Linked DNA regions of Caenorhabditis elegans. The protein of the gene in region 3 purifies or fractionates together with the protein of the main gene of each other region. This does not show direct contact. Each region holds a gene or a part of one and is shown on either strand. Other genes may lie near its edges.

The links.
Region 1: the proteins of wht-3 (region 3) and Y57A10A.27 fractionate together in Caenorhabditis elegans (co-fractionation; one large-scale study listed by BioGRID). This does not show direct contact.
Region 2: the proteins of wht-3 (region 3) and rsl-24D1 fractionate together in Caenorhabditis elegans (co-fractionation; one large-scale study listed by BioGRID). This does not show direct contact.

The regions. Positions count from the first base shown.
Region 1 is NC_003280.10:12,267,382-12,279,651, forward strand, and holds Y57A10A.27 (Armadillo repeat-containing protein 4), read right to left. Parts: upstream 7,664-12,270; 5' UTR 7,663-7,663; coding exon 7,394-7,662; intron 6,253-7,393; coding exon 5,761-6,252; intron 4,061-5,760; coding exon 3,775-4,060; intron 2,739-3,774; coding exon 2,619-2,738; 3' UTR 2,431-2,618; downstream 1-2,430. Other genes in the region: tric-1B.2 (Trimeric intracellular cation channel type 1B.2), read right to left, coding at 9,048-9,192, 10,050-10,177, 11,058-11,612, 11,885-11,998.
Region 2 is NC_003279.8:9,664,465-9,672,179, forward strand, and holds rsl-24D1 (putative ribosome biogenesis protein RLP24), read left to right. Parts: upstream 1-4,950; 5' UTR 4,951-4,956; coding exon 4,957-5,037; intron 5,038-5,092; coding exon 5,093-5,319; intron 5,320-5,365; coding exon 5,366-5,546; 3' UTR 5,547-5,634; downstream 5,635-7,715. Other genes in the region: npp-14 (Nuclear pore complex protein 14), read right to left, coding at 1-219, 264-449; cel-1 (mRNA guanylyltransferase), read left to right, coding at 847-927, 976-1,158, 1,210-1,410, 1,609-1,834, 1,881-2,008, 2,056-2,183, 2,234-2,378, 2,423-2,488 and 5 more; C03D6.1 (Piwi domain-containing protein), read right to left, coding at 4,249-4,351, 4,400-4,710, 5,784-5,984, 6,033-6,144, 6,190-6,251.
Region 3 is NC_003281.10:4,144,384-4,155,342, forward strand, and holds wht-3 (ABC transporter ATP-binding protein/permease wht-3), read right to left. Parts: upstream 7,216-10,959; 5' UTR 7,169-7,215; coding exon 7,082-7,168; intron 6,903-7,081; coding exon 6,856-6,902; intron 6,592-6,855; coding exon 6,487-6,591; intron 6,429-6,486; coding exon 6,242-6,428; intron 5,912-6,241; coding exon 5,528-5,911; intron 5,274-5,527; coding exon 5,023-5,273; intron 4,430-5,022; coding exon 4,157-4,429; intron 3,746-4,156; coding exon 3,562-3,745; intron 3,516-3,561; coding exon 3,397-3,515; intron 3,324-3,396; coding exon 3,257-3,323; intron 3,212-3,256; coding exon 3,071-3,211; 3' UTR 3,042-3,070; downstream 1-3,041. Other genes in the region: Potassium voltage-gated channel unc-103, read left to right, coding at 196-262, 481-584, 1,910-2,064; har-1 (Hemiasterlin resistant protein 1), read left to right, coding at 7,674-7,776, 7,829-7,965, 8,078-8,302; glod-4 (Glyoxalase 1), read left to right, coding at 9,218-9,304, 9,351-9,521, 9,568-9,918, 9,967-10,203. UniProt on the Caenorhabditis elegans protein: Required for efficient RNA interference (RNAi) of pop-1 indicating a role in the germline development.

The DNA.
Region 1 (12,270 bases), on a different chromosome or scaffold from region 3:
TTTTGAATATACATAAGAGATGTGCAAGAGTGACGAAATTTCATTTTTTTTTCTGTCTCTCTCTCTACTTCGTATGGAAGAAATAAAGAGGGTTGTCTGAGTAATGTATTCCAGAGAATATGCTTGACTTAGACCTAAGAATATTTTTTGCCATTACTGTGCTAAAATAAGTTCATATTTTATTTAATAATTCGGAAATTAATGGAGCGACAGGAAAATTGTCTCGAACCCAACTTCAGAAGCTCGTGTAATGTTGAGCAATAGTACCTATACTAAAATTTGCCATAGCTTAAGTATTTTCTAAATTTCTGTATAAAACCCTAAGTAGGCAGCTCGAAAAACATCTAATGACAAAATATTTTATTCAAAATAATTACTAACTAGCAAAGTATTCATTGTGGATTTTAGTTCGTTAGGCTAGCTAGATGGTTGAATTTCTTATTAGTTGCCTTGTTAATAACGCTTAATAAGTATTCATTAAATTGCTTATTATGCTAGATTAACACAAATCATAAATAACCTGTACGCATATACATATATATATATATATATACAGTGCGTCCAACTTCTATAGCACCCCCCTCCAATTTGGCGGTTTGGAGCTTCTCAAAATGTTTTTTGAAAAAGTGTTAGTGCAGTTCGATAGCAAATGTTGAAAAACCTATGCTCCCCAATTTTTATTATGGTATCTCAAAAATCACGGAAATTAGGTCAAAATATCTGAAAAATGGCCGTCCAACTTCTATAGCACCCCCTCTGATTTTTGGCAATTTTCGGTAAAATCGGGGTTTTCTTCTTAATTAATAAATTTATTTTGTGAATAACTTTACACCAAAATGTTCAGACGGTTTCATTTTCACGTGTTTTCAGGGGTTATATTTATTTTTTAAATGTATACCATACCTATTTATTTCCACATTACACTGTAATGTTGAGCAATAGTACCTATATTAAAATTTGCCATAGCTTAAATATTCGAACTTAGTAGGGATACAAATTATACAGTACTTTCAGAATATTTAAGCTATGACAAATTTTTAGATAGTTACTATTGCTCAACATTACAGTGTAATGTGGAAATATATGGGTATACCGTAATAACGACTGTATAAGTAGAGGACTATTTTACGTGTATGATTTCGGCATTCAAAATCATACATACACATTGTGTCAGGCTGTCGTCGTATTACAGTTTGATCTACAAAAATGCGGGAATATTTTTCCAGAAAAATTGTGACGTCAACACGCTCTTAACCATGCAAAAACAGATGAGATGTCTGCGTCTCAACTCCCGCATTTTTTTTTGAAGATCAAATCGAAATAAGACATTCTGACTCCACGTGTACATAATAAATATTTATAGATATGTATAAAAAACGGGTGTAAGCTTTGTTTTTGTTTAAAATGTTTCGACTAGCTGAAACGTTATTCTAACCGTATGTTGATTTTCCGCAAAATTAAAAATTAAAAAAAAAAAAAAACGAAAAAGTAAACAAAAAAACCGATATCTGTATTTATTGTGTGTGTGTTTCGTAAAGAGCCAATGATATCAATGCTCTGCCAATGAGCCGAGTCGAATAGAGAGAAAGAGAGAAAGAGAGAGAGAGAGAGAGAGAGAGAGAGAGAGAGAGAGAGAGAGAGAGAGAGAGAGAGAGAGAGAGAGAGAGAGATCTGCCTTTACACTGATCTCGGAGCTCTCGGAGCCGCCCGGCGGGGCTATCGGTTGCAAGCCTCCCGCCGGAGGCGGGAAGCGCCTACGACAGATGTTGTTAAGCTCTAAGTGAGTGAGTAGGAAGAGGAGATGAGAAAGAGAATAACACTAATTTTTCCGGCGGTGCCGAACCCCCGGGAAATGAGAACGAGGAGGAAAAAATTGAAGAAAACTAAAGAAAAAATGTTGCTGAACAGGTGTGGGCGGATTTTGGCAACTTTTTAACTGGATTTTTGGGAATTTTTCAGTGAAAATCTAGTTTTTTTTTACTCAAAAAAGCAAGTTTTGTTATAAAAATTTGATGATAAAATTGAAATTCAACCATTTTTGAACTCTAAATTTTTTTTTTGAAATTACGGAAATTTTCAATCAAAAAAATAATAATTTTCAGGGTAAAAATCGAGCTTTAGAGCTAAAAACAATTTGTTTTTCAAAAATCGCTGAAATTTTTGGAAATTAAATTTTTTTAAATTTTTTAAATAAAAATTTCCCATATTTTTATTTAATAAATTTCATCTAACCAATTTTGAGCACTCAAAAAAGCATTTTTTTCGTAAAAAAATTATTACCTTTTCGTGAATCCTTGAATCCCTCGCATGGCGTTTTCCAAGTTCCTGGAAAAAACCGAAAATTACAAAAAAAAAATCAAAAAAAAAATGGAGAAAAATAAAAATAAAAAATTGGAAGCAATCCGGATATTCAACAAAAGAAGTTCAGAATTTCGCAGATTTTTTTATTTAAAAAATGAGGTAAAATTCAAAATTTCCAGAACAAAATGAATAACAACAAATCAACAAGGAAAACAATTTAAAAATGAGAAAAAAAAAACGATTTTTTCAGAAAATTGCTAAAAATCACAAAATTAGCCAATTTTTTTGAAAAAAAAACAGAAAAATCGAATTTTCTTCTACCAATTAATGGGATGAGCCACTGGATGCATACGAATCACAACATTATTCGCTGCCTGGGTATCCGAGCACTCGTCGATTGCAGCTTCAAGTCGAGCGAAGGTTCCGACTAGGGATTGCTGGAAAAATAGAAAAAATAGATTTAAATTATAGAAAATGATATGAAAATTAGTTTTTAAAAAATTTGAAAAACGCTAAATTTTTTATGATTTTTTTTTTCAATTTTGCAATATAAATTTTTTTTTTTCGTAAAATTTTCAGACAATTTTCGGCAAAAAAATTAATCTGAAATCAGCTAATTTATCGATTTTAACTGAAATTTTTTTGAAAAAATCAGTAAATTCTGCCGGCGGGAATTCAAAAATTTACAAAAAAATTAGTAATTTTTCAGAAATATTGTGAAAAAAATTATATTGTTGAAAAATATTAATTCAGTGTTTTTTTTGGGAAATTTGAAAAAAATGTTTTTCTGAAATTCGCAATTTTTTCGTGTTAAAAAAAGATTATATTTCCTGAAAAATTCAATTTTTTTGAATTTAAGAAAAAAAATTTTTTTCTTGAAAATTGGCGAAAATAAGAATTTTTTTCGGAGAATTAAAAAAAAATTTTTTTTAATAAAATTCAAATTTCGCGCCAAAACCCCGAAAATCACTGAATTCTGAACAATTTAGTAGAAAATTTTGAAAGAAATTGCTCAATTTTTTTTGTAGAAATTTCGGGAAAATTTCCAAAAAAAAAATCATCAAAATTCGAATTTTTATCGAACAATTTTATTCTCGGATTTCAAAGAAAATTGCAATTTTTCCACTTTTTTTTCGAATTTTAGATAAATTTTCTGCTGAAAAAATTGATTTTTCTACAATTTTCTTTTTTTTTCTTTAATAATCGGAGATTTTTTGATTTTTTTTTTGAAAATAAATTTTCTAATTTTTTTTTCAATAAAACTAAAATTTGAAGTCCCGCCAAATTTTTCTGAGAAATTTGAATTTGTAGTCAGTTTTTTAAACGGAAAATTCAGAAAAAAAAAGTCGTTTTCAATTTATTTTTTCCACATTTTTATGGCTTTTCCTTCAAAATTTCACATTTTTCATCGTTTTAAGCCTAAAATTGGCCAATTTTTCAGCGGAAAATCACTTTTTCCAGCACTTTCCGTACCATTTCAATAATAAAATTGCTGATCGCAGCGAATTTGTGATGAAGTTTATCCTCATATACAATACGTGAACCATGTGCATCCATAAGTACAGTAATCAGTGTGAGAGCTTTTGAACTGATGGAAATATCCGGTGATTCACGGTAGATTTCAGTGAGAATTGTCATAATTTCGATGGATTCGGTGACGGAGAGCACGGCTCCGCAAGCTTCGGTCATTGGAATTTTAGAGAAGTTACGGGCAAGAACTTGGCTCACTTGGGCTCGGCGCTCGGATTCGGACGGTTTTCTGGAAAAAAAAGCTTAGTTTTTTAGTTTTTTTTATTTTTAATTTTTTCGAGAAAAATTGACAAAATTCGACTAATTTTGAATTTTTTTTTCGTATTTTTAACGATAATTTTTCGATAATTTTCTGTCAAATTTAGATTAAATTACAGCCAATTTTCGAGAATTTCGGAATTTTTGATTTTTTTTTAACAAAAAATCTGAAAATATCAATATTTTTTTTCAAAAAATCGTAAAATTTTCCGGAAAATTTTTTTTTTTTTTAATTTTTTCTTAAAAACGTTAAGCCTTTTGTTAGATTTATTCTTTTTTTCCGGAAAATGTTCATTTTTTCGGCGTTTTTCAGAGAAAATCGAAAAAAAAAACAGAAAATTAAAAATTAAAAATTCATAAATTTCTCGTTTTCCGAAATCCAATTTAGTTCAATTCAAGAAAAATATGTTTTTTTTTTCGGATTTAATATGAAAAAGAAAAAATGTTTGGTACGATTTTTTCTTTTTTCCAGAAAATATTCAGTTTTTAAAGCGTTTTTTAGATCGAAAAAACACCATTTATTTGAATTTGTTTTCAGAAAAAAATTAAACATTTTTTCGTTTTTTTTTTTGTGGTTTTCAGAGAAAATTGAAAAAAAAACACGAAAAATAATTTTAAAAAATTTCCTTTTTTTTAAAGATTTTATATGGAAAAAACGCAAAATTTTCGGTAGGTTATTTTCTGTTTTTCCAGAAAATTTTCACTTTTTTTTTGCTGTTTTTCAGATCGAAAAAACACCATTTATTTGAATTTGTTTTCTGAGAAAATTAAACATTTTTCCGTTTTTTGTTGTTGATTTCAGAGAAAATTGAAAAAAAGCAGGAATAACCTTTCAAAAATGCCCTTTTTTAAAACTTTCTTTGAAAAAACACAATTAAAAAATCTGGAAAATATCCGATTTTATATTTTTATAAAAAATAGTAAAATTTTTGTTTTTTTGGATTTTATATGGAAAAACAGCCAAAAAATTTTTCTCTTTTTCAGAGAAAATCGAAAAAAAAACTTATTTTTCTGGATTTTCTCAAAAAAAAAGGCAATTTTTGATGCGATATTTTTCTTTTTTCCAGAAAGTTTTCAGTTTTTTTTTGTTGGTGTTTTCAGATCGAAAAAACACCAATTTTTAAATTTTTTCTGTAAATTTTCATACGAAAAATGCAATTTTCGTGGATTTTTCTCTCGAAAAACTAAGAATTTTCATAAATTTTATTTAAAAAAAATGCGACTTTACGAGCTGAAATTGTAATATTTTCAGACTTTTTTGCTCGGAAAACGAAAATTTTCGAAGCTACCGAGCTGAAATTGGTATTTTTTTCAAATTTTTCTATGCAAAATGCTATTTTTCGTGGCTTTTGAGCAAAAAAAAAAGGTGATATTTTCGCATTTTTTGCACGAAAAAACGACGATTTTTGCGCTTTTTCATTCGAAAAATGCGATTGTTCGAGCTGAAACTATAATATTTTCAGACTTTTTTGCTCGGAAAACGTACATTTTCGAATATTTTCAAATTTTTCTAAGGAAAATGCTATTTTTCGTGGCTTTTGAGCAAAAAAAAGTGAGATTTTCGCAATTTTTGCTCGAAAAACTACGAATTTAGGTGAAAATTGTACGTATTTTCATAGGAAAAATTGCTTCTTTTTTTTTTAAATTTTTTGCTCATAGTCATCTCCATACCCAGCAGCAAGCTTCAACAATTCAGCCAAAATAAATTCCGACACAACACGTGCTCCATCGGCGAGCACATGCTCCACAATTTCCGTATTGCTCTTCAGCTTCTCAATGCACATTCTCAAAAAACCGTCCTCATTTCGAAAAGAGAGCACTCTCGACGTGGCAATCGCTTTGAGCACCACATGAAGCGTCTCGGGCTCCGAATCCACGTCATCCGTGTAGCGGCGGATTGCGGTGAGCAATTGAGACTGCTCAACAGCCGAAAGAGCTCCAGCAGCTTCTCCATTGGAGCATTCTTCGTCAAGTTTCGAGCTCAGCTGCTTCCATCTTTTCTCTTTTTCCGGATTTTCAATACAATTTTGAATTGATTTTAATAGAGATTTCGTGTCAAATGTATCGATTGGATTGACGGCAAATGAGCTGAACGTTTTCGTTTTCGTGGTGGGACCCGATTTCGCGATGGCTGTCGCTGTTAGAGCGTCGATTTTTGATTTTCTGAAAGAAATTTTGAGGTCTTATGTGATTTTTATGTCGAAAAATTAGCATTTTTCACTACATTTTCTGAAGAAAATTTAAATTTTTATTTTTTTTTATTCAAAAAATTGGCTTAAAATCGAGTTTAGACAGTTTTTGAAAGAAATTCATACAATTTTTTGTGATTTTTAGATTCAAAAATGGTCGAAAATCGAGCTTTTTTGTTTTTTTTTTTCTAAAAAAGTAACTTTTTTAATAAAAATCGAAAAATTTGCATTTTTACTTCATTTACTTCTTTTTTTTGCCTCAAAATTGGCTAAAAAATTTACAGTTTTCTCGATTTTCCTAGAAAAATTATACCTATTTTGTGTAAAAACAATTTTTTTTTTGATTTGCTGTAATAAAATGAGATTTTAGTATTTTTTGGAACATTTTTCGGATTAAAAATTCACTGAAAATCGAATTTTTTAAAAATTTAATTTCGGGTTTTTCGATAAAAGCTTTTTTTCCGAAAAAATTGGAAATTTTTTGGGTTTTTTATCGAAAAATTAGCATTTTTCACTCCATTTTTTTGATTTTTTAAATTTTTTTTTTTGACTCAAAATTGGCTTTAAAAATGTTTTTTGGAAATTGCAATAAAAATTGAAATTTTTATAATTTTTTCAGGAAAATCAAATCTCTTTTTTTTAATGCAAAACAAAATTGGAGGTTTTAGAAGGTTTTTAGTAATTTTAAATACATTTTTTGTGATTTTTTCTGGAAAATTAACTTTTAATTTTAGAATTTTTTATCGAAAAATTCGCATTTTTCACTCTATTTTTTGTAAAAAAAATGGTTTTTTGTCCGTTTTTTCGGATTTTTTTTTGGAATTTTCAAACTTTTCATGACACCTCATTTTTTTTTCAGATTCAAAATTTGCTGAAAACCTTTTTTTTGTTGAAAATTTCTCTATTTTTTTTAAATTTTTCGACTTCTAGAAGGGTTTTTCCCGGATAATTAGAAATTGTAGAATTTTCCGAGAGAATTTTTTTTCGGACTTTTACTTTTTTTTTTTAATTTTAAAAATTGATTTTTCTACAGTTTTCTATGAAAAAATTGAAATTTTCTTGCTAAAATCCCAAATTTTTGTCCGAATTCCAAATTCTAGCCACTAAAACCGTACGGCATTGGAAGAAGAGCTTCAGAAGTTGGTCCAACAATCAAAAGTTGCTCATCTCCATTATTATAAGCAATTTGAGTTGGAAGAGTCTGTCCAATTGGCCAACGGATCACTTTTCTCGCGAGAGCTGAAGCTTTTGTCGATTTCCGATCGATGAGCTCGATGAGCAGTTCTGTGTGCTTTTTTGTGCTCTTTTGGTGTGTTTCGTCGTCCTCGGCGAGCCGGGTGAGGTCGACTTTTAGGAAATCGTTGAGATCAAGCGACAGGTGCATTCTGGAAATTTTTTTGGGTTTTTTTCAGATTTTCTAGTGAAAAATTATAAAAATTGGGGGGGTTTTTTTTTTCAAAAATGTTTAAATTTTCAGCTAAAAATTCGGATTTTCTTTTTGAAAAATTCGAAAAAATATTGCAAAGTTTTGTTGCAATGTTCTCAATAAATTCCAATTTTCGGAAATTTTTTAAATTTAATAAGAAGGGATTTGAGTAAATTTGAATTTTTTTGTGATTTTCTATAGAAAAGGGAATTTTTTAATGGAATTGTCTTGAAAATTCCAATTTTTCTGCAATTTTTTCAAAAAATTGTCAACCTTTTCAGCCAAAAATTCGGGATAATTCCAATTTTCGGATTTTTTTGAAGAAAAATTCGAATTTTTTTTATTTTCTCGAGAAAATCGGAGTAAATTTGAATTTTTTGTGATTTTTTACTTAAAAAATTTTTAAAAAAGGAATTTTTCATTGGAATTTTCTTGAAAATTCCAAAAAATTGCAATTTTTTCAAAAAAAAAGTGCAACATTTTTTTTTTTGGTAAAATCAAAAATTTCGAATTTTAAAATATTTTTTTTGATAATTTTGGATTAAATTTTTTGGAATAAATTGGAGGAATATCAGAAAAATAAATTTTTTTGAGATTTTTTAAAAAATCACTTCTAAAAATCTGATTTTTTTTTGAATTTTTAAAAAATTAAAAAAAAATGAAAACATTTCAAATTTTTTTTCTAAAAATTCGGGAAAATTCCAATTTTTTGAATAATTTTTTTTAAATTTTTCAGCGAAATTTTCGGAAAAAAATCTGAAAATTTCGCAAATTAAAATTAAAATATAAAACAGTTTCAAAAACTGAATGTCAAAAAAAATTACAATAAAAAATCGCTCTAAAAAATAAAAAATAAAATTATTTAAACAAAAAAAACGTAATACTTCAAGTAAAATGTTAGTACCCGGCCGAGAGAAATGGGGAGAAAATTTGGAAAAATTGTTAGAAAATAAAAATATTTGTTTAAAGAGTAAATGGGAATCTAGACGGGGTAAAAAAAAGAAAAATGCTGTAAAATTTTTTGACTAGTTTTTGAAAAAAATTAGCTGAAATTTCCCAATTTTTCATAAAAATTTCGGGAAAAAAATGCTCCAATTCTCAGAATTTTCCGAATTTTTTCCAAAATTTTACAGCAAATTTCTGCGATTTTTTCAGAAATTTCTGCTAATTTCTATAAATTTTTAGTGACTAGAAACATGGATAAAGCGGCGAGTTTTGGATGGCAAGTGGGGTGATAAAACTGCAAAAAAATTAAAAATTAATAGGGAAAAAATGAGCCTTTGGCTCTTTTTAAACGAGGGGATTAATATGAAAATTCACAGAAATTATTTTTTAAAGAAAGATCAATTATTCTTTTTATCCGTGCCATTGGACATTTGGGCGAGCAGCTTCTTCTTTTTCAGCACTTTTTCCCGCTCTTTTGACAGAATTTCCTCCTCGGATAGTACACGATTACTGTGTATGGCTTTTTTTGTGGCGTCGACGGCTCTGGAATGGAAAATTTTTGGTTAAAAATGGATTTTTTGGGGGGAAAAGTGGAAAAATTGAGCTAAAATTCAGATTTTTAGGCCAAAAATTAATATTTTAGAGCATTTTTCACATGAAAAATGCAATTTTTCGAGCTAAAAATGTAATATTTTCGAAATTTCTTCCGAATTTTCATATGAAAAATGCAATTTTTTATGGTTTTTGAGTTGAATTTTTGCACCAAAAACTACGATTTTTTTTTTCGTATTTTTCGAGCAAAAATTGTAATATTTTCAGGCTTTTTTTGCTCGGAAAACGCAAATTTTCGATTTTTTATTGAATTTTCATATAAAAATGCGATTTTTCGTGGCTTTTGAGCAAAACAAATGAGATTTCCTGACATTTTTCCTCAAAAACTACAACTTTAAGTTAAAATTGTACATTTTTTTAATACGAAAAATCGCATTTTTGAGATATTTCGTTTTAAAAATTTCGATTTTTAGGTCCAAATTTTGCATTTTTGCTAGATTTTTCAATGATTTTATTCAAAAAAAGCGCCTTTTCGAGCTAAAATTGTATTATTTTCAGATTTTTCATCAAATTTTCATATGAAAAATGCAACGAAAAATCACATTTTTGCAAGTTTTTTTTCCTAAAAATTTTTGCGTTTTTCATGCATTTTTCATGAAAAATGGAATTTTTCGAGCTGAAATTGTAAAATTTTTGAATTTTTTCAAATTTTTATATGGAAAATTCAATTTTTCGTGGCTTTCTAGCATTTTTTGCTTGAAAAACTTCAATTTTAGGCGGAAATTGTACGATTTTTTTCGTTTTTTTTTTCTATAAAATTCGATTTTTCCTCCATTTTATTGTATTACTTTGCAAAAGCATCGATAATTCCGCCCATAAAAACTGCACAAAGAACATTCTCAATAGGCATCAGAACATCATGTACGGAGAGACACAGAGAAGCCAGCTTGAAGTAGATGAAGAATCCGACGACGCACTGAAATTGAGAAAAAATTGGTTAAAATTTCAAGTTTTATCGATTTTTTGTTCGTAAAAAAGGTAAATTATCTACTTTTTATGGCTTAAACTAGAAAAAATTGTCAATTTCGTAGAGTTTTTGGGCTGAAAATCGAAATTCTCACATAAAATTCATTTGTTAAGCTTCTTTTTCGCCCAAAAATGCAGTTTTCCGGCCAATTTTCTTTGATTTTCAGCCTTTTTTCACCTAACACTGTAGTTTTCTGGCCAATTTTTTCGAATTTTAGAGCTTTTGTAGGCTGAAAATCCACGTTTTTCAACTAAAACTGTAGTTTTCTGGCCAATTTTCTTGGATTTTCGGGCAATTTCAGCCTGTTCTAACCGAAAAATGCAGTTTTCCGGCCAATTTATTCAAATTTTTAGCCAATTTTCAACCATTTTTACCATAAAAATTTAGTTTTCCTGCCAATTTGGACAGTTTTTCAAAGATTTTCGGGCAATTTCAGGCCTTTTTCATCTAAAACTGCAGTTTTCCGGCCAATTTTTTGGAATTTTCAGTCATTTTTAACCTAAAAATGCACTTTTCTGACCAATTTTCTTGGATTTTCAGACTATTTTCAGCCTTTTTCCATTGAAAACTAAGGTTTCTGACAAATTTTATCGGATTTTCAGGGATATTTCGGCTATTTTTCACCGAAAAATGCACTTTTCTGACCAATTTTCTAGGATTTTCATGCAATTTCAGCCCTTTTTGATCTAAAACTGAAGATTTTCGGTCAATTTTCGGTTGATTTCCGCTGAAAATGCAGTTTTCCGGGGCTAATTTACTCGTATTTTCAGTAGTTTTTCACCGAAAAATGCAGTTTTCAAGCAATTTCAGCCAAAAAATCCACACTCACCAAGTACACCAAATCGTGTGGCGCCGTAACATACATACTATGCCGTTCCAAAGTGAACACAATAGACGCTATAACACACGCTTTTGTGGTAAACGATGGCCGAAGAATTTCATGATTCGTCGGGTGCCATGTGCCACGTGCCAGTTGCTCAACGATCTTTACAACGCCTGAGCCGGCTCCTTTCGCGACTCCAACAAGAATTTGCACCAAATAAGACTCTGGGTAGATCCTGACGGCGTGCTTCACCCCCGCAGCAATCTTATGCGTCCGTTGAACCTCTTTCAGCACTGAGAGCCCGAGCTTCACGGGAAACCACGTGGCGAGCCGGAAAACCACGTCGAACGGTGAATAGAACACCAGGTACCAGACGATGGAGCCGAGGAGTATGTCGGCGTGCTGTTTGAGCGGTGAGATGATGGGCTCGCCGAGCAGAAAACAGGAGAGGAAGCTGCCGGCGAACGACATGAGCATACAGGAGAGCCAGCATGAGAATGGGTGCTTACGGGAGAATGAGATGGCGTCTGGTCCCAAGTCGTGGCGGACGGAGAGGCAGGTCTGCAAGATTTGTCATGTTTTTCGGTAAAAATCTACTGAAAAATAGCGTTTTTCGATTTTTTTACTAAGAAAATTGGAAGTTTTCTGGCTTTTCTCTTGAAAATAGACAAATTTCTCTCCAGAAAATCTGATTTTTCTGGTGTTTTTATAAACACGAATTCACGCATTTCCTCGTTTTTTCGGGCAGTTTTTTGCAAAAAATTTGAATTTCCCAGCTTTTATGCAATTTTCCCGTCAAAATCACACATTTTTTATCAACATATAAACCTTACCAATACATAATGCGCCGCATCAAAGTACGGATAGAGCTTCAGCTTTTGTACGTAGCCTCCGGCATCTATTAGTGTGTCGTGATCGATGCTCCACTCGTCGGGAACCCATCCCATAGCTGAAAAAATTGGATATTTATTCGAAAAAAGTAATGAAAAACAGCAAAATTGGGCGAAAATCAATATTTTTGAAGGGAAATTGAAAATTAAAATCGAAAAAAATTGGGTTTTTTAATTACGCTAAACAACACGCGTATGCGGGATTTCGGAGCGTCGTTGCAACATTTTTATACTTTTTAATGCATTTTGCATTTAATTTTCCATTTTATTTGAGAATTCAGCGATAAATTTTATAAATTTGATGTTTGAGAACCCGGAAAATGATATTT
Region 2 (7,715 bases), on a different chromosome or scaffold from region 3:
TGTACAAATTTTCTTAATATCGAAAACATCGACAGAAACGTCATTGTTTTTAGTATGAAGAACTCCGAGAACTGTTCCATCAGAATTAACTCCCATGTCGTTGATTAAAACGACCCCATGAAGACGAATTGTTTTTATTGGTAGATCCGTAACTTCAACGTTCATATTTTCTCGGGTGATTTTGTAACCAAGAAGACTTTTTGTATGGAAGCATGATAACTGAAAAATAATTTTGAAAACGATTGAACAAGTCATAATTTTACCTGATTAGAATTAACTGTTACAAAGGTAACTCCCAATTGAGATGACGTAGCAACTCGGTTTCGAATGTTTATCTCATTTTGACTGTACCCATCTGACTTTGATGAAAAAAGCCGAAACTTCCGGCAAGTGTGGAAATGAAAGTCGGTGACTTGAGAAACGTCTTCAGCAACATCTTCGTTCGACATCTCTGAAAACACGAAAAATAGATGTAAAAAAAATTGAGGAGAAAATGTTCAAAAGGATGTCTGGCATAAGAAAAAACGGGCATTCAAAAACCGATCAAGAGCTTTTTGAACAAATTCAGAGGATGTATGTTCTTTAATATAGATAAGGAGTTAAAAAATATAGTATTTTCTTTCAATTAATAAAAAACAAACGTTTATTTTGAAACACTTCGAAAATTCTTTAAATTCGCCAAAATACAACTGGAAACGCGTAAGCTTGCACTCAAAGTGCGCCAGCTGTCAAAAAGTGCGCCAGCACGCGTCCGTTTCGTGAGGTTAGCGAAATTGCGAAACATTTTATCGGATTCCTTGTTTTCTCCATCGATTTCTGTGCGTTATTGCCTTAAATTGACTGAAAATGGCTACACGAGGACCAACACCTGACAAAGCGAGAATGGGACTGCCTGATAGATGGCTGCACTGTCCAAAAACCGGAACGGTCTGTGCAAAATCTGAGATTTCGGTTGTTCATTGTTCTCATTTTCAGCTTATCAATAATTTGTTTTTCCCATTCAAAACACCACTGTGTAAAATGTATGACAATCAAATTGCCGAAAGACGGTATCAATTCCACCCGGCAGAAGTTTTTTCACATCCTCATCTTCACGGAAAAAAGATTGGGTTGTGGATCGACCTCACAAACACTGATCGTTATTATTTCCGCGAAGAAGTATGAAATTCAATTAAAAAAATAAATTTGTAACAAAACGATTATGTTCAGGTTACCGAACACGAATGTATCTATCATAAAATGAAAATGGCTGGACGTGGAGTGTCGCCGACTCAGGAGGACACGGACAACTTCATTAAACTCGTTCAAGAATTTCATAAGAAATATCCAGATCGTGTTGTCGGAGTGCATTGCACTCACGGATTCAATCGAACAGGATTTTTAATCGCTGCATACCTATTTCAAGTAGAGGTATTTACTGTTTAGTTCATCATGACAATCCAACTGTTTAATTTTCGAGAAGCTAAAAATTTATGTACTCATTTATTGGAATCAACGCATGATATTTTGTTGAGAAGTGTCTAATTAAATACGTTTCTTTTTGAATCAGAAAAAGCTCAGAGAATAAAAAGTTGATTATCTTTTTTAAACTGACAGGATATTTTTAAGGAATATGGTCTCGATGCTGCAATCGGAGAGTTTGCTGAAAATCGACAGAAGGGAATTTACAAGCAAGACTACATCGATGATTTATTTGCAAGATATGATCCCACAGAAGATGACAAAATTCTGGCTCCCGAGAAGCCAGACTGGGAACGAGAAATGTCTATTGGCATGAGTACACAAATTGACAACGGACGACCATCGACAAGCCAACAAATTCCCGCAACGAACGGTTTGTCTTCAATTTCAAGCCTTAACGTTTAAATAATTTTATTCAGGAAATAATAATCAAAATGGAAATCAATTGAGCGGAGGAGGAGATAATTCGAAATTGTTCATGGACGGATTAATTCGAGGAGTTAAAGTGTGTGAAGATGAAGGGAAGAAGAGCATGCTTCAAGCCAAGGTATATCATTTTCTCACAATTCTTTAGCTGTATAGTTTTTTCTTTAGATTAAAAATCTCTGCAAATACAACAAACAAGGATTTCCGGGTCTCCAACCCGTATCTTTGAGCCGTGGAAACATAAACTTACTCGAACAGGAATCATATATGGTATCATGGAAAGCTGATGGCATGAGGTTAGTGAATATTCTTTAAAATTTCATTTAAAGATTTTTTAAAATTTTAGGTACATCATTTATATCAACGATGGAGATGTCTATGCGTTTGATCGTGATAACGAGGTTTTTGAGATTGAAAATCTTGATTTCGTGACAAAAAATGGTGCACCATTGATGGAAACCCTTGTGGATACTGAAGTCATCATTGATAAGGTATGAAAACTCATAATTTATGAATGAATTATTTGTTTTCTCAGGTTGAAATCAATGGAGCCATGTGTGATCAGCCTCGAATGTTAATCTATGATATTATGCGATTCAATGTAAGTTGATTTCAATCGGAAAGAAAATGTATTATTCGTTTCCAGAGCGTTAATGTGATGAAAGAGCCATTTTATAAACGATTTGAAATCATCAAAACTGAAATTATCGACATGAGAACTGCTGCATTCAAAACTGGACGCCTGAAGCACGAGAACCAGATTATGTCTGTCAGAAGAAAAGATTTTTATGATCTTGAAGCAACTGCTAAATTATTTGGACCGAAATTTGTGCAGCATGTCGGACACGAAATTGATGGTCTCATTTTCCAGCCGAAGAAAACTGTGAGAATTAAAATTAAATTTTGAACGTGTTTGAGAATGATATTTTACAGAAGTATGAAACTGGAAGATGTGATAAAGTTCTGAAGTGGAAACCACCATCTCACAACTCTGTTGATTTTCTACTGAAAGTTGAAAAGTAAGTTTCTAAAGAGGAAATTGAAGGGTATCAAGAGAATAATCGAATTGCAGGAAATGTAAAGAAGGAATGCTTCCCGAATGGATTGGATATTTATTTGTCCAGAATCTTTCCGATCCATTTGGCACAATGAAAGCAACGGCAACTCTCAAAAAGTATCATAATAAAATTATCGAATGTACACTGCTGGTTGATAATCAAGGACGGGTAAACATTATTTTTTGATGCAAATCTATGTTGAAATTAATATTAGTTTTTAATTTGGTTACTTTTTTTCAGCCAAAAGAGTGGAAATTTATGCGAGAAAGAACAGATAAATCGTTGCCGAATGGATTACGAACTGCGGAAAATGTCGTTGAAACTATGGTGAATCCTGTCACTGAAACCTATTTAATTGAGTGAGTTAATTTATAAAAAAATAAATAAACGGAGTATCATAATTAAAATTTTTTGATCTTCGGCACGTTTTCAAAATTTTCAGTCAAAGTTTTTGGAAAAACTGGATCTTTTTGGGAATTTCTGGTTTTTTTAATGCAGGGCAGTTTCTAAAGGTTAAATCAAGGCTGAATCCGGAAAAAAACTTTTTTACGGAAGTTACGTTAATTTGTTGTTTTTAAAAAAGATACTTCAATCATATATTCACTGTGGAAAAAATTGTATAATTTTACAATTAATTAGTTTTTTTAGTTAGCAAAAGATTAAACAAACATCGAAAATATTTAGAAACAAACATTTTCGAAAATTTCATCAAATTTTGTTAATATTGATGAAACGAAACATAAAGAAGCATACACCTAATTGTATTATATTCGAACTTTTTGCATAAAAAAATTAATTATTTTGAAATAGTTTTACTAAGATATTTAGTAAGTATAACAAATGTTTTAAACAATATTCGCATTGATCGTACTAAATCTATAAGACTTAACATATATTTTGCTTCCTCAGGTATGTAAATCACGCTCTCCGAGTTTTGAAAAGAGCTGCAGCAGCTCATCGCCATCATCAAATACACCAACAACAACTCCATGAGGGAGAACCGGAAGCAAGAAGACAAAAACTCTGATAATCATTCTCCTACATTTGACATCTTTTTTTTTTTTTAATTTTTCACATGTTGCCTTTCTTAAACTCTCCTAGATGCTCTTTCATTTTACCAACAACACTACGGTTTTCAAAAATAACTCAGAAATTATCATTGGCTGTCTTTGTACTTTTAAAAACAAATTCTTTTTTCGTGTTCTAAACAATTGTTTTTTCATTAAAAATTTTTTATTCAATTTTTCATAATTTCATGATTAAGAGAATTCAAAGATTGTATTGTAGGAAATGGAATTAGATATCAAACTTCTGGGTCAATGTGAAGTTGGAGCGAGATTGTATCAAAATCATATTGAGAAGAGTTAGCAATTCGAGGTAGAGCATTGTTGTGTGCTTCTCTGAAACTGAAAATCAAAAATTAAAAGATTTATCAAGAAATCGAATATTCTTACGCTGCGTAACTGGGAAAAAATTTAGTCCACAGTCCAGCTTTGTTTTCAGCATTCCAAAGAGGTTCAAGAAGAGAAAATCGATGATTACGAACTCTAATTGTTATAAACATGTTAACAATTAAGTTTTGAAATTCTTCGTTTGATTGGAAAATTCCGTCATCTTGAAACAAATAAACGAGTGGTTCCGTATTTTCTGGTCGCCATGGAGCCAATCCAAATGCAAATCGAGGATTCCATTCTGGAAGATTTGATGCAGTCTCTATATATGTTGATATTTCTTCTTTGAAAGCTGTGAACTCTTGATGTTCTACCTGAAAACTTACGATTTCTTCTTTGGTACATGATTTCCAATTTGAATCACCGCGCTTTTATCACCGACGCAAAGTGCGCAAGCAACACTCGCTGGCGCCTTTCTCTCCCTTTGCGCATAAGGCGATCGCTTTTTTATTTTTTCGCAATTCTTGATTCTAAACTAATTTTGTTACTTTTCAATGTTCTCACTGTCCAATTTCACCGTATTTTGCGTTAATAAATTATTTTATCAATTTTAGGTAACAATGCGCATTGAAAAATGCTACTTTTGCTCGTCTCCCATCTACCCGGGACACGGAATCCAGTTTGTCAGAAACGATAGCACAGTAAGAACTATTTAAAATAAAATTAGTTTACGAACTGTTCAATCAATCTGTTTAGGTGTTCAAATTCTGCCGATCCAGATGTAACAAATTGTTCAAGAAGAAGAAGAACCCAAGAAAGCTTCGTTTCACCAAGGCTGCGCGTCGTGCTCGCGGAAAGGAGCTTATCAACGACGCCACACAGCTTCTCGAACAGCGCAGAGATGAGCCTGTCAAGTATGAAAGAGCCATGTTCCAAAAGACCATTGAAGCTGCCAAAACGATTTCCGCATTGAAAACAAAAAGGTAAATAAAAATAAATTTATATCAAAAAGCAACTATTATTTTTCAGATATGGTAACCTGATCAGAAAACGTCTGCAACCAGGAAAGATTGTACAGAAGAAGGGACTCCTTGCGAAGGTCGACAAGAAAATGCATCTCATCCGTGCTCCAGTTGCAAACAGAGATGGTGTCAAGACAAGGGCGGCAGCAAAAGAAAAGAAAACCGCAGAATCGATGGAGACCAATTGAGTACCCAATTTTCTTTCTTTTTTTAAACTTTTTGTTATTTGTTACTTGTTGTTCTACTCCCGCTTTTGTGAATACACTTGGATTTACGATTTTTTGGAATTTCTTGTTATATTCACTACTGGACAGGAAAAAGCGTTTCAACGAAATACTAGGTGGTGGTAAGATTATTGGTCAAGGCCGCAGTTGTGTTCAAATTGAAAGATGCAACGTTCAAAGTTATTTTAATAGGAAACGTACCGTTGATTGTAGATCATCGCGAACTTGATCTCGGAGCACAATAATAAAATCAGGGAGCACTTCACGATGGGATCTGAAGTCTTCAATTATCCACCGAGTGACTCGTCGAATCAGCGCAGGATCAACATGCGGAATGGTGGCCTTTTGGAAATGAAAGTACTCGGTAAAATGATCAGGACACGAGGTTCCGTTGAATGTGAACTGGAATTACATCGAATAGCAAAGAGTTGAGCACAAAAATGTAATTACCACAACTGTACTGGGATTATTGTAGACCCCAGGTGTACTTGGATCCACAGTTCCATGATTTATAGCATATCCTATAAAAAGCGTATTTGTCTCTGGCCCCCGCAAGCTTCTCCTGAAATTAAATTAAGAAATAGGTATTTATGAGCTAAAATCTCACATATACTGGTGAGCATTATTTCTTATATCTGGAGCCACATGTCGCCTTCTTCTTAATGCCATCATTATTCGGACTGAAAATTTTGGAATTTCAGAAATCACCCAACAAAGAAAGTTTATAAGACAAGGTACACGGAGAAACAGAAGGAGAGATAAAAATTGAATAGCCTAGAGGTTTCAATGACATAGACATATATACACATACACACTGATCAGAACATTCTTCTTCTTTTTATTCGTTGTAGAGGAAGTTTTGACGTCGACGGATGGATGAGGACGACCGCGTGGGGGCTGTTTATATCACTATTTGTGTATGGAAGAAGCTGATATGATATGGTAGTAATATTTTTGCATCTTGAAGATTGTTCTTCCGATATTTTGGCGGAAAGTCCTATTATCATAGTTCTGATGGTTTTTTGAAACATCCGCCTGAAGGCGCATGGATTTATTCAGATAGGTCTCGTCGCGAGAAAAATGTTTACTGTAGGTTTCCTTTTATTCGACTTCCCTATTGCATTTTTTTGTTCTCAAGCACATTGAAATTCTTAACAAAAATCGAGAAAAATCGTTAAAACAGCTAGAAATTTGTTTTGAAAAAAATCTTAATAGAAAGGAAAATAATATCAAAATCGGTGTGTCTTTAAGAAACCTTGTTTCAGAAAATTACAATGTAATTTTTTAAATCAAAATCTGCTTTCAGTTTCCCATTTCATCTTTTTCTCTCTCTGGACATGATTATTCACAGAATGTTTTTATTTGCAAACTCTCGCCGCGCTTTTTTAGGTTTACTGTAGATGAATTAAGTTTTATTTTTTATTGGTTTATTGTAATTTTTGGTCACGAGTTGAATTCGGAAAACACCCAACATTGTAAGTGAAGTTTCCAGTAATTATCGTTTTTGAAAAACTATAAAACACAGAAAAAGAAGCCGGAAGTTTCTATAGGTATACAGTAAACATAAAGACGCATACACAGATCGTTTTCGTAAAATTCCCGACGAGACCTCATTCGAATAAATCCGCCTTCCTTAAAACTTATAGAAGTTCGTGTATTTAATTCCACGTTTCTTCAATGATACTGTACCGCGAAAAGGGTGAGATTTTTCATGTAGACACTCTAAAGTGATAAGAAAAATCAAAGAAGGGAGTCTAAATGCGTGGACAATCATTAAAGATTCTATCTTTTCGGGGGCTGCTGATCGAGAAAAGAAGTCTACGAGAAAAAACTGTTTGGCAGTCATTTAACAAATTCTCTCATTAATTTAAATATGTATATCAATTCAGTGATAAAACAACGTATTGCGACAAACTATAAATGTAATAGGGGGAAAAGTCACGTGGTGTCGTTTTGATATGATATGATGTGATATGGATAGCGAAATAGAAAATGAAAATGATGAAGGGACAGGGGTGAAAAGTCAGAGGAATTCCGTGGAAGGAAAGGGGAAGAACAATTCTTTATCAGTTTTTGGGAATCATTGTGTCAGGTCGAATTGGGGGACGGTTTCATTGTTTTCTTTTTGATAGT
Region 3 (10,959 bases):
GTAATTTTTCAGTTGACAATTTTTTGATAATTTCAAAAGTAACTGAGATAGGCGTTGAAAGGTGCAAGTCTAACTGGGAAACTACACACGTGGAATTGCAGTGTGGTATTTTAATTTTGAAAAATAAGAATAGTTAGGGAATACATATTGTATTTAGAATTTGTTAATTTTAAAATTAAAAATGCAAAATTTCAGACCGATCAGATGATTATGAAGAACGAAGGGCAAACATGTTTGGAAGGAGGCTTGAATCAATTGAAAGGTACATTTTTTGGCACTTTTGATTACACTAGGTTTCTAAATTTTTTTAAACACATTAAATTGAACATTTAAATTTTGGGCGAAAGAATGTTGAAAAATATTCAAATTCACGTTTTCTGCCTGTCTGATTGTTGAATAATTTAAAATTGTTATTTCAGGCAACATTTTTTTGAAAAATTACTAACTGTTGAATAATTTACTAACATTCATTTTTTGCAGCCAAATGGAACGAATGCAGAACAAGTTTAATAGTGATATGGAGACATTGATCAAACTTGTAAAAGAGCAATCGATAATCCGAAACAATGGATCATCAAATGAAGGTAGGCGGTGAAGAGAGTATCTCCCCGCCCATTCATTCCTTCTAATCGATGAAAGGTTTGTTATTCGCATCCATTGAACCACACACAAAACACACATGTATTCACCGGTTACTGTAGTAACTAATCTACCCTCCCTGTACTTTCTCTTTTTTTTTTATTTAATTAGATAATTTCAATATGCTATGCTAGATTCTAGATACAATTAATATAGTTCCCTTTCTATCTAGGTAAAGCTCGTCCCTTGATTTTTTTTAAATTTTTCCTGATCCTTTTTTTTCGATTCATTTGATTCATTTTGTCGTCAATAATTCTAGTGATCGTCAACGTGTGTTGCAGTGTTACTATAATAATTTTTGAAAAATATAATATTACTTATTCATTGCGTTGTACGCCAATTTTATCCTGATATATTATCTCTCTGACTAAATAGGAAACATTTAGCGCATATTAGAATTCTCTAAGACTTTTAGGTAAGTTTAGGTAGGCATAAGCATACCTACCTGTTTTTTATAAAATACCTATGCTTTCATAGGCACTCAGGTAGGCAAACGCGATAAACGTTCTTCTAGGTGAATAGGTAGGCATGAGATGTCTCATTTCTTTTAGACACACAACAGGCATCAGGCATTAAAGGCACACAGGTAGGCGAAAAGTCACCTACGACATTTTAGATTCCGAGGTAGGCATCAGGCGACTTATGACTTTGTAGGCGCGCCAAGTTTGCGCGCGAAGTACTGAACTTTCTGTTTTTCAAATAGATTTTCTTTATGATGTTTCCCAAAATTTGCGCGTAAAACATGGTGCATCGAACGCGATGTATCTGAAATTCATGTTAACCCTCATCTCACCAGTCTCTCAATTCTGCAGCCGACATTTCACGGGATCTACTCCTATGAGATGTTGGCTGCTTCACCTATCACTTTATAAACAAATCGTTGTACCACTGTTAAGTGAACCTCTCTACGTATCTAATTATCATCGTAATCTTCTGATTTTCCCTTCTTCGTCTCACAACTCCTCTTTCTAGTAAACTTTCTTCTTTTTTAAATATTTTTTTTTGGTGAAACAAGTGGAATGTGTGTGTTTGATGTAATGCGATAACAATCGATACTTGCACGATTGGATGAATATTTTCGAATATTCATTTCAGGAATGAATGGGTTTTTCGTTTTTTTCTTTATTTTTTGGATTTTTAATTATTTTCTTTCTGAACTTTCAAGTGATAAACAACGTGGCTGCGTGTAGATCACAGAAAATTTTATCAGAAGCTTCTGATTCCCAGATCGAGAGCTCTTTTCTCTATCAATTATTTTCAAATATTCCAGAGCCCAATGCCCGTTACCGTCCGAACAACTACATATCGTCAGCGATACGTCTTCCGAATGGAGGTGGTGGTGGAGTTGTCGATGAGATGAGAGTCTCGAGGCTCTCATCACACGAGCCACCAACACCCACACAAGAAACTGATACTATTCTATAACCCGGTTTCTCTCTTTCTCTGTCTCTCTCTCCATCTTTCTTTCTCTCTCACATCCAACCCAATTCAGTCCTTCTTTCCTTTTTCTCAGGGATCTTTTTCCGAGTGCCTCTTCACAAAAACATTTTTATATGATTACAAATTGTCCAGAGTTTTATTCGTAGGATCAAAAAACGTTTTGAATGGAAAATAGTCGAATTGTGCGAACACCGGCGTACGCATCGAGGAGAGGTTAGAATTTAGTTTTACACGAGCTGCGTAAATCGACACAAGGCCGCTTCGATGCACCATGTTCCACTCTCAACTATTTTCCATCTCAAAACGTTCATTTTCTCTCAACTCCCGGTTTGCAAAGCTGTGTGATTTGTTTTTTTTTTTCATTTTCCACCAAAAATCAATAACCACACTTTTATACCCCCTCCTAATATTCTCATATCTAATACCCCCGGATAGCCACTAGTGATCTCTTTCCATCTCCCACAAAACTAAAGGAAACGTTTTCTTTCAAATGCCAAAAAGTATTTCAAATCTTTTTTTTTTTTGCAATTTCAACTTCAAAAACAAAACAAAATTCGTGTTTTCATCATGTCTTTCTCGCGGGTTCATATGTCGCAACACTTTTTTCAATGTTCTCCATCAGTTTTCCCCTAATATAATGTTTTTTTTTGCAATTTTTCTTTTAAAATCTGATCGTCTAGATGCCTTTTCTTTGTATGTTTTTCTTTTGAAATTTTCTCTCTTCGTATCCCAAAATCACATCACATCCCCTTTTTGACATTCTTTCTATGCACCCACACTAAACAAAAAAATTTCGATAAAAATTTTAAAATTTGATTTTTTGTGTTCAATTTTCAATTTCAAATACAGTACTGATTTTGGTATCGGATTCAGGATAAAAGAGCAAAAAGTGACTTTATCTGCAGCCGACACCTCAGGGGGGGGGGGGTTTCAAACAAATATATATTAAGAGCTACAAAAATGTTCAGCAAACAAGTTCATAATAATAAAATCATCGAGATAATCGAATTCGAATGAAAAGTGCAATATATCCAGCCAAATAGAAAAAGATCACAATTGAGCAGAGTCCAATAACATCCAATTGATAGTTGTCTTTGTTGAATGAGAACTGTTTCAGAATCAATTCTCGATACTGAAAAAGGATTAAAGTGGCATGTGTCACAAAAATAGAACTTACGAAAGGATCCCATTTCGGATTGTCCACTTGAGACCACTGATTCACGACGAGTCCTTCGAATCCATATCTGAAAATTCATTTGTCGTGAGTACGAAGCCGTTCAAAAGCGCATACGCCTAGAAACGGGCAAAATTTCTAACCTACACCAACTAGTCCATTGCATCCACCGAATGTAAACTGGAAAGTTATTCGTATTTCCATATAATCCACTCAACAGTGCAAAAAGGCCTGATGCTGGAACGGCAAAAGCAATTGCCAGCTGAAAAAAAACATGTGTTTTGAAAAATCTGATGTTAAAAATTTACCGAAGTAGTCTCGAATAGACAAGCCAAGAAGAGGCCACACGAAGTGGCAGACTGCTCGACGAGCACAGAAATTAGAATACTTTTAGCCACTTGTTGCCAAGTACTATTCAATCCAATCATCCAATATGATATTACAATCATTAGAGCTCCGTCGATTGTAAATAATGGGAGATATGACAGAAATCTGAAAGTTGAATCAGATTTATCAACTGTGAGATGCTCTTCTTGACAACGCAAAAAACCATTATTTGGGCAGAGCCTAATATTGATTTTTTTAATACTTCGTCTTTAGTTTCGTACAGTCACAAAATGCCTACTATAAGCTCTACCTACTACCAACGTGAATCTTGCTCTATTTTTTTTAACTGAAAAATTGATCCAAACACGGGAATTTGCGTCAAATTGCAGAAATGGGCGGTAGGCAGAAAATAGGCACATAGGCATGCAGTGCTAACCATGGAAGCATTGTTTTTCATATGCTCGGATGTTTTACTACCTATCAGTGCACTCAAAATATTTAGTTTTCAAATAAACGTATAGAAAAACTTCCCATATCGTGTCATGTTTCCGTACTTTTCCACTTTTCTAAACTAACCTCGAAATATAATAACTAATTACATAAAACAATCCATCATGATATTCTCTCGCAATTAATGGAAGTTCATGTTCCATAAATGTCATAATTCCAAACATCGTGGAGAAAGTGAGCTCCGCAATTAGAAAATAAAGAGCACTATTTGTGTTCCGTACTCCTCGAGGATCAAGTGGTTGTTGCCAATAAAGAGATCCGATGAATAAGCCCATCACCACTTTTTGAATTAGTTTCATTCGCATTTGAGCTGGAGAACGGATCACATCGAGGCAAGCTCTGAAAAATAATGTTAGAAGCAAATCAAATTTTTATTGCACCATTGGTTTGCAAAGAAAAGCGTGCATCATCATTTACTATATATAAAGCGCTTATTCTGTGTGTCCATAGTTTGTAGTCTATGTAGTCTTTGTAGTCTGTGAAGTTTTGACTTCTGGAGGGATAGTGAGTTGGGGTTAGTGTAGGGATATAGTCGGGGTACTGTAGTGGTACAATAGTGGTACGGTAGGAATACTGTAGGGTTACGGTAGTTTCATAAAAATTAATTTTCAGCTCTAGAAGTCGGGGGCCGCGCCGAAGGTGCGGACCACAGCTGGTTTTTTATAAAGTGCAATCGTGGTAGGATTTCCAAACAAAATTTTGGCAACTTATAGTATCTCGGGTCATTTTATAGATATCAGAAAATGTTGAACTACAAAACTATAGAAAAATACATGATAAATATTTTGTCAATTGGCAAAATTTCGAAAAATCAAAAACAACTGAGCTATGGGATGTCAAAGTTCAGCAACAGTTTGTGGTTCAAACATGGTGCATTTCGTAGTTTACCATAAAGAAGCGTGCTTTAACTATTATTTTTCCAGATAACCAACCTCTTTAACAATGCTCCAGTTTCGGCAAAAAATCCTGGATTCTCTATATATGGAGGTAGCTCTGTAGTCGCAATCACACGTATTTCCACTATAGATTTCTGATGAATTATCGATTTTTCATAAAATTCAATAATTTTTCCAATTGTTTCTCGACTCTTTGTCTCGTTGTTTGGTATCACTGACAATTTGGATTGTATCCATTCAGGTGGATTGAATAATTTCGGAATTGGATGGCCACAGTCAGCGAAAAACTGGAAAAAAGGTTTATTCGAAAATTTGTAAATTCAAATTATAGTTGGGTATCCGAACAATTCGATTTTCGATTCAAAATTATAGGCAGATGAGGGTCTCCACACGACTGAAACATTTCGGTATGCGCCTTTGAAGAGTACTGTACTTTTTCGCAGATTCCACATTCACTAATATTTTTCTGAATCCTCAGTTTCGGTCGTGCCAAGACCTTTTGGCGTGCGCCTTTAAATAATTTCTTAAATTTCAAAATTACCTTCACGGACTCATGAGGTGTTCCCATAAAAGCGGTTTTTCCCATCGACAAGAAAATAATTTTGTCAAATTGAAAAAAGAGCTCGGCAGTAGGTTGATGGATCAGTGTTCGACCGGAATTCGCGAGATTCTTCAAAATTTGTACAACACTTGCAGCCATAAATGAATCAAGTCCAGACGTTGGCTCATCAGCAAAAAGTAGTGATGGATTGGATAATAGTTCACAGGCAAATGTCAAACGACGGGCTTCACCACCGGAAATTCCTTTTACGAGTCCAGGTGTTCCAATTTTCAAATCTCGACAATTTTGGAGTCTCAGCATTTCAATAATCTCATCCACTCGTTCTCTACGTGTATGTTTATTGGCTTTCATCCGAAGTCTTGCCTGAAATTTTTGGGAGTTTGCGCGTAAAGTTTGATGTATCGAGTAGGCGCTGACGCTTGATCTTCAGAAATCGGGAGTTCTGGAGATCAAACACTGTCTTCTGATTATTACAGTTTTAGGTCTTGAAACGGTCAAAGTATTCTCAAATCAAAACTCCAGAAAAGAATGCGCGCCTCTAAAAGGTTACTGTACTTTTCATTCCGTATAGTATTTTTACTTGAAACTACGGTATTCTTTAAAGGCGCACGTTATTTTAGGTGACATTAATTCAAAAAATGTTATTCGTGCCAAGACCAAATACTGTATTTTCGTGCGAAAAAAAATGCTGACCTGGATCATTAAATATTCATCAACAGTCAATGTTGGAATGAAAATCTCCTGTTGTTGTGCAAAACCAGAAATCAATGAAATCTCCTTCCCGATCTTTGTTCCATTCACTTTCACGGTTCCATTCTTCTCCAATCCCTTCATATTCCTGCACATTAGCACATTCATTAGAGTGGTTTTTCCTGCTCCGCTGAACAAAATTGCTTCATAACTATAACTTCATAACTATAACATAACTAAAGTTTTACCTTGCACCCATTAATGCCACCATTTCTCCTGGCTTTGCTATTCCCGAGACTCTATTTAACAGTTGCTTCTGCTTTTTGGAAAATAGCTTTTTCCGAGTTTTTACCCTGAAATATGAAAATATTAAATTCAAACACCCGCGTATTTCTCAGAACTACGGTGTGCAAGCGGTGTTTGCGTACCGCTGCGGAATGCATCACAGCCTACGCGCAAATCATCATCATTTTTATCATTTCTTTCTCGAATTTTCTTTGTTTTTTGATCTTTGTGTTGAAGATTTGTTTATATTTTACAAAAATTATGACTTAAAAATTAGTAAATTGCTCTGGGCGTGTTATGTGATGTTACTATTCGTCAATTTTCCAACTTACTCGATGTTTTCCCACGTGACTGTGATGGGCGTCACCACTTCCGTCAGCTGAAAAATGTATTTTACTTCGTTGCAGCAATTATGTGTATTTTATATGATTTAAACACATTTCTTCAAAGATATATTTGTTGATTTCAATTTACAAATGCATTTCAGACCGAAAAAATACTAAGAATCTCCTCTTGAGCTAAACTCCACGTTTTCAGCTTTACACAACATAATTTTACCTTTTGGCTGCTTGTATCGATTGATTCGTACCCGGCATTCCATCTTTTTCTTTCCGCTAGTAAATCGAATGGCATTTTTGTAGGCATTTGACAAATAAACTATTTGAATTGATTCAATTTTTAATTAAAAATTATAGAAATGAGTAGATTGTTGATTTTCCAATCTAAATTTTATCATCACGGATACGTAAATTTTGAAAATAGAAAAAATAGTCTTACAACGCTTTTATTACGATTTTTATTTGTTGTAAAATGCATAATACAAACTTTGAAAAGCTTGTATTTATATTTAATGATTCTAATATGATTTCGCTTGATTTAGCTCAATTTTTTGTTTCCCTGTCGTATTTCGCAATCTTATCTCTCATCACATTGAACAGACAAGTGATTTTTGAACTATTTCGTCACTACTCGGACAATATAAATGCTCTTCGAGACTAGTGGAGGCTACAGAGTTCCTGATTTCTGTCATTTTTAACTAAAAAGTTAATTTAGAATGTTTCAATTTATTCGAATATTTTATCTTCTGGCTTTTTTCGTTCACAGTTTTAATTATTTGAAATCTTCATTGAAATTCTATCAATTTCAGAAAATGGTTCGTCGGCGCACTGCTTCCCCATCTCCATCGGCCCCAGTTCGATCGGCTCCACGTCCAGCCGCCCAGTCATCCTTCGCCGCTCCACCACCAAGACCAGGTAAAATTTAAGCCATTATTTTTTTTCAAAAACTCTTAAAATAATATTTCAGCCGCCGCTGCTCCAGCTTATCATCCACCAGCAGCTCCAACTCCAATGGGAGCCCCAATGGGTGCTCCATCTCAGGGACCAGGATTGATGAAGCAAATGGCTGCAACCGCCGGAGGAGTCGCCATTGGATCCGCTGTTGTGAGTAGTTTTATTTAAATATATATATATTCCCCGGATTTCGAAGCTAACCTATTTCCAAGACCATAATTTGGGAAACACTTAATTAAAATATCGAATTCTAAAATTCCAGGGTCACGCCGTCGGAGGAATGTTCACCGGAGGCGGTAGCTCTCATGCCGAGCAAGCTCCAGCTGCTGCTGCTGCTCCAGCCGGTGCTCCACAAGCTTCTGGCTACTCGCAGCCATGCGAATTCGAGTGGAGACAATTTGTGGACTGCGCACAAAACCAATCTGATGTTTCTCTGTGCAACGGATTCAATGATATTTTCAAGCAATGCAAGGCCAGATATGCCTAATCACAGTTCCCCCGTATAGATATTGAATTAAGTGAAAACGTTTAGCATTTGGTGGAAATTGATTATTTCTCTCTGAAAACTCAAATTCTACTTTATGGTTATCGCTTTCAATTTGACTTTTTTCCTTTTTTTTGTCGTATTTAGCTCCCTGAATTCCAAATGTTCCGTAGTTTTGTTCTTTTTCAATTTTCCCCAGTTTTCTGTTCGCAAATAAATTGACTCGTTGTTTTCTTGTTTTCCTCGCAGTCTTTCGCACTGATTTTTGAGGTATTTGCCATGTTGTTTTTATATTTTCTGGTTCATTCGCGATTTTTAAAAAGCAAAAAAACACATCAATGAGCGCGCGGGTCGGCCTCCAAACACTCACTATAAATACTGCAGAAATCGCTTCATTTTATTATTCCTCCGCTCGCTTTTTCTCTTTTCTACTGCAAGATTTTTATCGATGTTTCGTTGCTATGCATTTTTAAACTCCCCGAGATTCAATTTTTAATCTTTCGAGAAAAAATAGAGTTTTCAATAATATACGATAATTTCTTATTAATTTAGAGAAATATTAATTTTTTAAAAAATTTAAATCGATATATTTTGAAAAACTATAGTTTTTTCGCCATATGGTATATTTTCCGTTAATTTAATCTATCTTTTCAGTAACTCACAATATTCTCCTCCATATTTATTTTATTGAATATTCCAAAATTTAGAACCCATATACTTTTAATATTTTTAGACAATTTTTAAAAATATAAATATACGGGTACGGTAGCTTCGAAGCTTTGGTCGTTTCGAGACCCATTATTGTATTTGTACTTGAATTTCCTACAGTAATCTTAAGTGAGCGCGGCGAGACCCATTCATTTGAGTGAACATCCCTTGAAGTTAATCGAAAAATAATTGTATTATTATTCTCCAGAAATGACAGCTCGCGCTCTTCACTACGTCTTCAAAGTGGCGAATCGTGCCAAGACCATCGACTTTTTCACAAATGTTCTGAATATGAAAGTGAGTATTCACATAATTTTTATTTAAGCTGTAAATTAACTCTCAGGTTCTTCGCCACGAGGAATTCGAAAAAGGATGCGAAGCAACTTGCAATGGACCATATAACGGACGATGGAGCAAGACAATGATTGGATATGGCTCAGAGGATGAGCATTTTGTTCTAGAGATCACATATAATTATCCAATTCATAAGTATGAGTTGGGTAATGATTATAGAGTAAGAAAGCTTGAGTCTTGATATTATTAATACAATTTTATTTCAGGCAATCGTCATCGATTCTGATCAACTCTTCGAAAAAGTCGAAAAAATCAATCATCGTAAATCTGGATGTGGAAGACTAGCTGTGAAGGATCCAGATGGCCACGAATTCAAGATCGGAAAGGCTGATCAATCGCCAAAAGTGTTGAGAGTTCAAGTGAATGTTGGAGACTTAGAGAAATCCAAGAAATATTGGAATGAAACTCTCGGAATGCCGATTGTTGAGGAAAAGTCGAGCAGAATTCGAATGAGCTATGGTGATGGACAGTGTGAGCTGGAGATTGTGAAGTCTCAGGATAAAATTGATCGAAAAACTGGATTCGGAAGAATTGCATTCAGTTATCCTGAAGATAAGGTAATTGTTGATATTTTCTATTAAAAATCTAAATATTTAATTTTCCAGCTCGAATCTCTCCAAGACAAGATCAAATCAGCCAATGGAACTATTATAAACGAGCTCACAACTCTCGAAACTCCAGGAAAAGCCGATGTTCAAGTTGTGATTCTTGCCGATCCAGATGAGCATGAAATCTGTTTTGTTGGTGATGAAGGATTCAGAGCTCTCAGCAAAATTGACGATAAAGCCGAGTCTGAGCTCAAGGAGCAAATCAAAAAGGATGACAGCGAGAAGTGGATCTAAATTTTGTCATTATATTTTTATTTCCAATGTATTTTCCTTATATAAATTCGAACATTCCTAGAAATTATTGTAGTCAATTTTTCAGAAGTTTCAGGGAAGATCTTTTCATTCACTTGACCACCAGAGAAAGCAATAAAAATAGGGATTTTTGAACAATCTGGAAATTGAAATTTTCTTTGTGTTTCAAAGCATGTTAAACCTTGCTTTTTCTGAATAAGAATGCTCTTCTTGGCTTCTACATGTTTTTTATCACAGCTGTTTTATTACGGGAATACAAAATTCAGAGAATGCGTATTGCGCAACATATAAGACGCGCAAAATATCTCGTAGCGAAAATTACAGTAATTCTTCAAATGACTACAGTTGCGCTTGTGTCGATTTTTGAAATTAATTTATTTTCGATTAGTGACAGCGATATTCCTTTTTTTTTGCTTAATTATAATATTCTATCCATAAATCAATGATTAAAAAACATAAAAATCGAGCCCGTAAACCAACCGACACAAGCGCTACAGTAGTCACTTAAAGAATTACTGTAGTTTTCGCTACGAGATATTTTGCGCGTTCGCAATACAAATTCTCAGAACTTTGTGTTGTTAATATTTATACTTACAGTCTATCGTAAAAAATCTGAAACTTTCGTCATACAAAATTTCCGATTTTTTTAGAAGCATCTTCAGAAGTACGCAGGTTTCCAAAATATACTTAAATCAAGATTAAACTCATTAAATTTCGCTCAAAATATATTTTATTCAC